Macaca fascicularis: one gene and its partner. Each later gene encodes a partner of the first gene's protein in a complex. Links are inferred from orthologs where the notes say so. Each region holds a gene or a part of one and is shown in the gene's direction. Other genes may lie near its edges. The genes, in order: TCN2 and CD320.

Evidence for each region.
Region 2: the proteins of TCN2 (region 1) and CD320 are in contact, whole or in part, in a crystal structure (PDB 7QBF), measured with the Homo sapiens proteins. The link is inferred for Macaca fascicularis from reciprocal best matches to the Homo sapiens genes TCN2 and CD320. Residues at the interface, in NP_000346.2 of Homo sapiens: Asp70, Leu71, His74, Lys77, Leu78, Gln81, Gln82, Glu91, Asp92, Arg120, Gly121, His122, Lys123, Asp125, Arg126, Val128, Ser129, Lys132, Trp133, Glu136, Arg140, Lys169, Arg170, His172; in NP_057663.1 of Homo sapiens: Thr57, Lys58, Leu66, Cys67, Val68, Pro69, Trp72, Asp75, Arg76, Asp77, Leu78, Asp79, Leu133, Glu136, Cys145, Ile146, Pro147, Thr149, Trp150, Asp153, Gly154, His155, Pro156, Asp157, Cys158, Pro159.

What each region holds. Positions count from the first base shown.
Region 1 is NC_088384.1:21,050,200-21,054,491, reverse strand, and holds the start of TCN2 (transcobalamin-2), read left to right. Parts: upstream 1-1,231; 5' UTR 1,232-1,442; coding exon 1,443-1,506; intron 1,507-4,292. UniProt on the Homo sapiens protein: Primary vitamin B12-binding and transport protein. Delivers cobalamin to cells.
Region 2 is NC_088393.1:8,999,514-9,003,815, reverse strand, and holds the start of CD320 (CD320 antigen), read left to right. Parts: upstream 1-1,225; 5' UTR 1,226-1,260; coding exon 1,261-1,387; intron 1,388-4,302. UniProt on the Homo sapiens protein: Receptor for transcobalamin saturated with cobalamin (TCbl). Plays an important role in cobalamin uptake. Plasma membrane protein that is expressed on follicular dendritic cells (FDC) and mediates interaction with germinal center B cells.

The sequences.
Region 1 (4,292 bases):
GTTCTCTTTCCTGTCTGCAGGGATTTTTTTTGACGTTACTTTCCTAGTTCTGGCAAGTACCCCTGCTTCTGGTAGTTTTGTGTCTCAATTGATTCAATCTCATTCTTTTTTTTTTTTTTTTTTTTTTTTTTTTGAGACAGAGTCTCGCTCTGTCGCCCAGGCTGGAGTGCAGTGGCGCGATCTCGGCTCACTGCAAGCTCCGCCTCCCGGGTTCACGCCATTCTCCTGCCTCAGCCTCCCGAGTAGCTGGGACTACAGGCGCCCACAACCGCGCCCGGCTAATTTTTTGTATTTTTAGTAGAGATGGGGTTTCACCGTGGTCTCGATCTCCTGACCTTGTGATCCGCCCGCCTCGGCCTCCCAAAGTGCTGGGATTACAGGCGTGAGCCACCGCGCCCGGCCCATTCTTTATTTTATTTTATTTTTGACACAGGGTCTCACTTTGTCACCCAAGCTGGAGTGCAGTGGTATGATCTTAGCTCACTGCAGCCACCACCTCCTGGGTTCAAGCAATTCTTCTGCCTCAGCCCCCCAAGTAGCTGGGATTACAGGCATCCGCCACCACGCCCTGTTAATTTTTTTTTTTTTTTTTGTAGAGACAGTGTTTCCCCATGTTGCCCGGGCTAATCTCAAACTCCTGGGCTCAAGTGATCTGCCTGCCTCAGCCTCTCAAAGTGCTAGGATTACAGGCGTGAGCCACTGTGCCCAGCCTTAATCCTATTCTTTAACTTGTTTTGTTTTGTTCTCTCCAGGAGGCTCCCAGCTCTTTCAGATTGGTTGAGAAAAGTGGCCTGGCTGGTCTGGGGCCAGCGGCACCCCTCCCTCCCCCAAACTGCCCAACTCCCCCACCCCTGCAATCCCCTCCTCCACCACCAAGGGGGGTGGTGCTGAAAAACAACTGACTCCAGCAGTGCTGCTCACGTGACCACTGCAGCTGCAGCTCCCGTTCTGCTCCTTGTCCTGGGCTAGGTGGGCACTACCAGGGGCTCCTTCTGTAAGGAGTACTAGGTAGGCACCCGGTCCTGCCGATCCACCACTGGAACAGCTAAGGGGACAGCAGACAGGCACGGTCGGACAGACTTGGCAGATCAGACGTCAGGCCCTCTGTGCTAGTCCCGGGCTCTTTAAGCAGGAACGTGGATGGCCTCAAGATGGCTCACATGGTCCCACTCACCCTCCTCCTCCCTTTGTTCCCTGCCTCCAGGAGGGCTGCTCTGCCCTTCCTTCCTCTGTTCTTTGGCCTTCTGTTCCCTGCCACCACAGACCTTTCCACCCTCTCTCTCTGCTGACTTAGCAGCGCATTGCAGGCCTGGAGGATTAATCAGTGACAGGAAGCTGCCTGTCTCGGAGCGGTGACCGGCTGTGGTCAGGAGAGCCTCAGCAGGGCCAGCCCCAGGAGTCTCTCCCGATTCCGGATCACTGCTCACCCACCTGCTGCTGCCATGAGGCACCTTGGGGCCTTCCTCTTCCTTCTGGGGGTCCTGGGGGCCCTCGCTGAGATCTGTGGTGAGTAACTCGCCTCTGTCCTGTGCCTTGTTCCTTCTGGGTCCTTAGGAGGGTGACTGGGGCATAGGATGGGGGAACTTACCTGCCCCTCTGGGCTCCCATAGCAGTTTGGACTTAGCTGGACCTCAGCATTTAACACATCGTATTGCGACTGATTATATGTCTGACTCCTCACCAGACAAGATCTCCTCCGTTAATTCAGTCTTTAGTTCACACATTCGTTCAGCACATAGTTACTGAGCCTTTTCTGTGTCAGGCCCAGTGTTAGCCTTTGGGGAATGTGCAAGGCGTGAGACAAGTCTAATTCCTGCCATCCTAGAGCTTGTGTTCTGGGGAAGGGGGACAGACAAAAGAAATCAATGGTTAGGTGCTCCCACCTGAAATCCCAGCATTTTGGAAGGCTGAGGCGGGAGGATCGCTTGAGTTCAACAGTTCGAGATCAGCCTGGGCAACATAGGGAGACCCCATCTCTACAAAAAATAAAAAAAATTTAAAAATAGCTGGGCATGGGGAAGACTTTCTGAGGACCGAGAGGGAACATGGGAGCTGAGACTCGAAGGAAGAAAAGGAGCTGGCAGGAAAGGAGTGGGGGACACACATTCTAGGCAGCAGGAAGTGAGTCTTCAGAGGTCCTGCCTGCTCCAGCTCTGTGCCCCAAGGGGTCTCTTGGAGCACACTGTCTCCTGGGACCTGTCTGTGAGTCTGAGCTCAGAGGCTCAGGGCTGCTCCTTCAGACAGGAGGCAGAAGGCAGGCTTCGGGACTCTGGGCCGCCCACGCCTCTTTTCCCCTCCTCTGCACCTAGGATTATGCTCAGCAATACACTTTCACCACCGTGGGCTCTTGTAACTCTGGGGAAACCCTGAGAGGTGGGTGCAGTCATATCCAGGTGTCAAGTAAAGAAGTCGAGGGTTGGAGGGGCTGAGTGACTCGCTCAGGGTGCTCCACCTTTACCAGAGCTTTGCTGAACTTAGTTTTTTAGAACTTTTCTTTTTTTGTTTTGTTTTTTGTTGAGACAGGTTCTCACTCTGTTGCCCAGGCTGGAGTGCAGTGGCACGATCTTGGCTCACTGCAACCTCTGCCTCGCGGGTTCAAGTGATCCCCCCACCTCAGCCTCCCAAGTAACTGGGGACTACATGTGCATACCACCATGCTCGGCTAATTTTTGTATTTTTTGTAGAGACAGGGTTTCGCCATGTTGCCCAGGCTGGTCTCGAACTCCTGGGCTCAAGTGATACTCTTGCTTTGGCCTCCCAAATTGCTGGGATTACAGGCGTGAGCCACTGTGCCCAGCCAGAACTCCAAGCCTCTCATCTGTGTTCCATAAATAAATCAGACTCCTCAGGTCTGGGCCCAGGAACCCCAGCTCTTGGTTCATGTCTGGACAGTTTCCCAGGGGAGTTCTGGGTTCAACCAGCCAGAACTTTCCCTCCTGCAGACCTGGCTGGCCTGGTCCTCAGCCTTGGACACTTAGTCCATTAGCCTGACCCCACAGGAACCCCCATCCCTTGGGGTCTGGGGAACCTTGAACTGGGATTTGGGGTGCAAATATCTGTGCTGAGTCACTTGATTGCGCCCAGCCTCATTCCTTTACCTGTAAAATGGGCTAAGAATGCTCCCCTGCCTTCCTCCTTGGTGTAGTACAAGGGAGGATCCCATGACACCTGCTCTTCCAGTTTAAAGTTCTGTGTGTGTATTGTGAAATTGACAGGGATCACTGCACAAACGCTAATGCAAAGTGGGCTCCTGTGCTTCCTTTTCTCCTTCTTCTTCTTTTTTAAAAAATTTTCTTATAGAGATGAGGTCTCACTATATTGCATGGGGTTGGTTTCAAACTCCTAGGGTCAAGCGATCCTCCCACCTTGGCCTCCCAAAGTGCTGGTATTATAGGCATGAGCCACTCTGTCTGGCTCCTGTGCTTGTGAATGTCAACAGCAATCAGCCCTTAGCTGGCCTGGCTGGCCTGGTAGGGCAAGAGCTCACCCAGGGCTGCTTTTATTACCCTAGGTGAATCTGCCTGTCCCCTTCCTTCTAAGGAGGCTGCTCTGTGGTTGTCAGTCTCTCCCTTTACAGCTGGATCCTGGTCTTTCAGTTTCTAACCCTGTGCTGACTAATCGTGCTGGAGGTGAGAGCCCAGGGTGAGGTCAGGGAACTCCCTTGCGAGTTTCAAGAAAAGGGAGAAGGAAAGAGAGGTGAGGAGGCACAGATGACCAGAGGGACACAGGCTGGGGGAGACTGAGACAGACCCAGAGAGCCTCAGAGACATTGAGGGAGAGAGACAGAGAAATGGAGATAGACATCAAAATTGGTTCTGAGTGAGAGAAAGGGAAAAAAGCAACCCCCCAGTCTCTCTTCATTAACATCTGGTGAGAAACCAGCCATGTGCTCTGGTCTGGGCCCACACAGCAAAGGATTATGTAGGGTTTCATGCTAGTGGATGGCTACCTTATAGCAACAGATATCTGGAGCTGTCGGGAAAACAGACACGAGGTTGTGGGACCCAAACCCACAGAGATGGAGCTGTGTTCTAGGAGCTCTGGTCCTCGCACCAGGAGGCCCAGGAGGCAGATGAGGCATCTTGCAACAGCTCCTTTTCTTAGTCCCCTGGGATATGGCACAGTGGAGGCCACCATCAGGCAGCTGGAGCCCAGCAGCAACTGGGAGGCAGTAAACGGGGACAGAAAGTCCAAGGTGCCTCCAAGGCAAACTACTCTAAACTACCCTGTGCTGAGCTCAGGTCCCTTGGAACTATCCGTAAGGCTTCCACTTCCAGGGTGTTTCAGTATTT
Region 2 (4,302 bases), on another chromosome or scaffold:
ACCCAGTGACCCTAAGCAGGGGAGCGTCATGGCTTCCCCAGGGCACAGCCCCGCCCCTTCAGCAGCTAGAAAAGATCAGCTGTGGATCGAGAGGGTGCTGAGCCGGCCCTGCCCTCTGGAAGGGGAAAGGCCACGGCTGCAGGCAGCAGGTACAAGTGTCCCAGAGTGGGTCCTACAAAGGCTAACAGCCCAAGGAGGAGGCATTCTGCTTGGGGCAAAAGGATGAATCACATTCAGAAAGGTCAGGAGGGAGAGTAAGACCAGGCAGGGTGTGCAGAGGCCACAAGGAGGGCAAGACCCTAGGCAAGGCATGCCACTAACGGCGTCTGAACCAAGTTTTATGAACACGACTTTTTTTTTTTTTTGAGATGAAGTCTGTGTCACCAAGGCTGGAGTTCAATGATGTGGTCTCAGCTCACTGCCTCCTGAATAGCTGGGACTACAAGTTACAGCCACCATGTCCAGCTAATTTTCTTTTTTCTTGAGGCGGGCGGGGACTTGCTGTGTTGCCCAGGCTGATCTCCAACTCCTGGGCTCAAGAGATATGCCCACCTCTGCTTCCCAAAGTGCTGGGATTACACGCGTGACCCATCGCTCCCGGCCTTTATTATTTAATTAAATTAATTAATTTCCTTTCCTTTTTTTCCCCCAAGCAACCCGACTCCGAGAATGGACGTTTCATTTATTCATTTACTCACCAAATTACTAAGAGCCTACTGTGAGTGAGGCACTATGTGTCAGGCCCTGAGAATAAAGCAGTGAGCAATAGAAGATCCCTGCCTTCCAGTAGCTGGCATTCTATGGGGACTCGGGCAATAAACCAGAATAAGTAAATAAAATAAATTAACTGTCGGCGCCACAAAAGCAGTGAGATGTGGGAGGAAATGGGGAGTGCCTGAGGGGCGTGGCTGCCATATTAAAGAGGATCACGAGGCAGTAACGTTTGCAGCAGTCCTCACATGGAACGGGAAATAATCCAAATGAACACCAGCAAATTCCTTTCCATCCCCAGAAGTTTCTGACTTCAAGCGGCCTCCATACCTTTCGACTGATCTCGTCACTGGGGAAAGTGGGGGACGGGCCTGTAATTCTCTTTTTCCTCCTATTCTGACATTTACGGTACTCGTAGCCGCGGGCGCAGCGGGACTCGGGGGCTTGGGCCCCGCCTCCGCCCCGCGCGTGCGCGTGCGCAGGGATAAGAGCGAGGTCCGGACGGCGCGTGGCCGGCGCAGCTGTGGGGACAGCTCGACCAGCGGTTGGATGGCGCGGGGTGGAGCGCAGCGAACAGGGGCTCTAGGCTTGGCGCTGCGGCTGCTGCTCGGCCTCGGACTAGGCCTGGAGGTCGCCGCCACCCCGCTTTCCACCCGGACCTCTGCCCAGGCCTCAGGTGAGTGACCCCCGGCAGAGCAGGCTCCCACCTTTCGTGAGGATTCGCGCCGCCCCCGCGCTCCGACAGCGCCTCGCCATTGGTTGCACCGCACGTCCGTCCATGACACTCCCCCAGCACGTGGACTTGGACTTAATCGCTTGCGGGAAGGCGCGGGCTGGAGCTAGGGAGACCCCATGCTGGGGGAGGGGGAGAGGGTGCCTCCACCTGCCTTTAACGGTTTTGCCCCGGCACTGTGCACCCTCTCCACACCTGCTCTGCTCTGTCGTGCCCCATTGTCACCTCCAAGCCGCCCTTCATGCCAGCGTGGTCAGGAAAGCTCTTAGCAGGTTCAGATTGTCCGACCGCTAATCACGCAGGGCGGGTCACGTGGTGCCTCTCGCACCTTTGCCTTGCAAACCCTCGCGCCCAGGCCTTGTGACCGTTCCGCGACCGTCTCTCCTTTGTCCTCCATCATTGGAGAACGCGAGGTCTCTCCCCCCATGCTACTCCAGGCCCTCGCAGAGACTGGGGTCACAAGTTCAGTATACCCCCGTGGGCATGTTCGCCCTGGCCTAAGTGGTATTGGTGGTGGCCAGTAGGGACGGGCTCCCTCTCTGATACTCCTAGAGGCAGCTGGGAGGGTTGAAGTCGCTTCCCTGTGCACACAGGCACTCCCAACTTGCAGCTCTGGGCTCAAGCTCACACACTTTCCCAGCTCCTTTGTGCATTCTGCACTTTCTAGGTCCCTGGACTCATCCCAAAGTCCCTGACATTCACGCTAAATGTTCCTGGTTTTTTGTTTTTTTTTTTTTAAAGGAGGCAGGGTTCACGTTAACCAAGTACAAAAGTTTTTTTGTTGTTTTTTTTGTTTTGAGACGGAGTCTCGCTCTGTTGCCCAGGCTGGAGTGTGGTGCAATCTCCACTCACTGCAAGCTCCGCCCGCCGGGTTCATGCCATTCTCCTGCCTCAGCCTCCCGAGTAGCTGGGACTACAGGCACCACCACCATGCCCGGCTAATTTTTGTATTTTTAGTAGAGATGGGGTTTCACCATGTTGGCCAGGCTGGTCTCGAACTCCTGACCTCAAGTGTTCCGCCTGCCTCAGCCTCCCAAAGTGCTGGGATTACAGGACAAAACTCTATACACAGTCTCTTTGTCCTCAGGATGTTGAGGTAGGGATTCCCAGCATACCCCTTTTACATGTGAGAAAACTGAGGCCAGGAGGGAAAGTCACTGGTCACTCTAACTCCTGTCAGGCTTACCACCCTATGAGGCGGGGACTGCTGTGCTCTGCTGTCCACTTTGCAGAGGGACACACACTCCAGCAGGCCAGTGAAGGGAGGTCAGAGGTGTCAGGGCTGTGGAAGTCTGGGCCTGGGTGGAGAGCCACACCTGGAGGCTGCCAGACCCCTTGGGGGCAGGGAAGGAAGCTGGCTCTGGTTTGTCCACAGCTCTTCTGGGCTCCACAGAGCTCAGGGACCGTGTGGCAAGCAGGTGCAATTGGGCCTGATGGCCGGGGAGGGGCTGACTGTGGGCAGTGGGGGGTTGGAGGCTCATGGCTGGTGGGTAAAGGTGGAAGAGGTTAAACGCCCTGGCAGAGTGAAGCCAAGCCAGGTGGCAGAATTGCCACCTCTCCTGGCCGCACCCAGGAGGAAGCCTTGAAGGCCACTCCCTTCCTCTGTTCCTTGACCCAGGTTCCAGGCCCCTCTGTGCCTCTCCAGGTCGGCAAACAGCTAAGCTTCCCTGCTCAGAATCTAGGACAGCCTGGATCTTCTCTGGACCCAGCTTGAACCCTTATGTGACCTGTGTCCACTTATGATCAGGCACTGCCCTGGGTTTAGGCAGCCAGGTCACAGCCCTGACCTCCACAGACTGTCCAGTCTGTGGGTGGACAGGCATGACCAGGGCTTTGAGGACAGTTGTCAGACGTGGGAGGCAGTGCTTCCTAGGTCTCTGAGAGGGACTTGAGAACCGTCCCAGGAAATCAGCTGAGATCTGAAAATTGAGGGGAAAACACAGGGTGTAGAGAGGAGAGCAGGAAGGGCAGCTCTCTGGTGTCCTAATGGACCTTGGGGCCTGGGGCTCTGGTGAGGAGCTGACACATTTAGGATGGGGAAAGTGATAGGTCTGGGAGGAATTCAGGAGGCGAGGCAACAGGACTTGGTGACTGAGCAGGTTTTCTACCCAGTGCCTCAGTTTCCCTTTTGCTACCTAGAGGAGATACACCCTCCCTGCTAACCTGAGCCCGTGAGCTTGACCCAGGGCATGTGGAAAAATGGTCTGTCCCCCAGTCTCTTTAACCACTGAGTTTAGAGGTCTCCTGGGTAGATCATCTCGCTGTAAGGAGCCTGGTGAAAACTCTGGGATCAGTGAGACCTGAGTTCGAACCCCAACTCCACCACCAGCTCTTTTTTTTTTTTTTTGTGGCGATGGAGTCTTGCTCTGTGGCCCAGGCTGGAGTGCAGCGGTATGATTTCGGCTCGTTGCAACCTGTATCTCCCAGGTTTAAGCAGTTCTCATGCTTCAGCCTCCCGAGTAGCTGGCATTACAGTGCACGCACCACCACGCCCAGCTAATTTTTGTATTTTTAATAGAGATGGGGTTTCACCATGTAGGCCAGGCTGGTCTCAGTGACCTCAAGTGATCCACCTGCTTCGGCCTCCCAAAGTGCTGAGATTACAGGCATGAGCCACCGCACCCAGCCTCTGCCACCAGCTCTGTAGCCTCCTCTTAGTTCCTTTCTCTGTAACCTGGGGAGTGCAGTAGCACCTGCCCGGTGGGGCTCTTGGTGAGCCCAGGAACTGCCACACTCTGAACCGCACTTGTACTAGGGGCTCAGTAACAAGCAGCCGCCAGTGTGGTTCCTACATCCCAGGACTTCACCCGTCTCCTGCGAGTCACAGCCAGTGGCTGCTGTGCTCTTGGAGGAGGGTC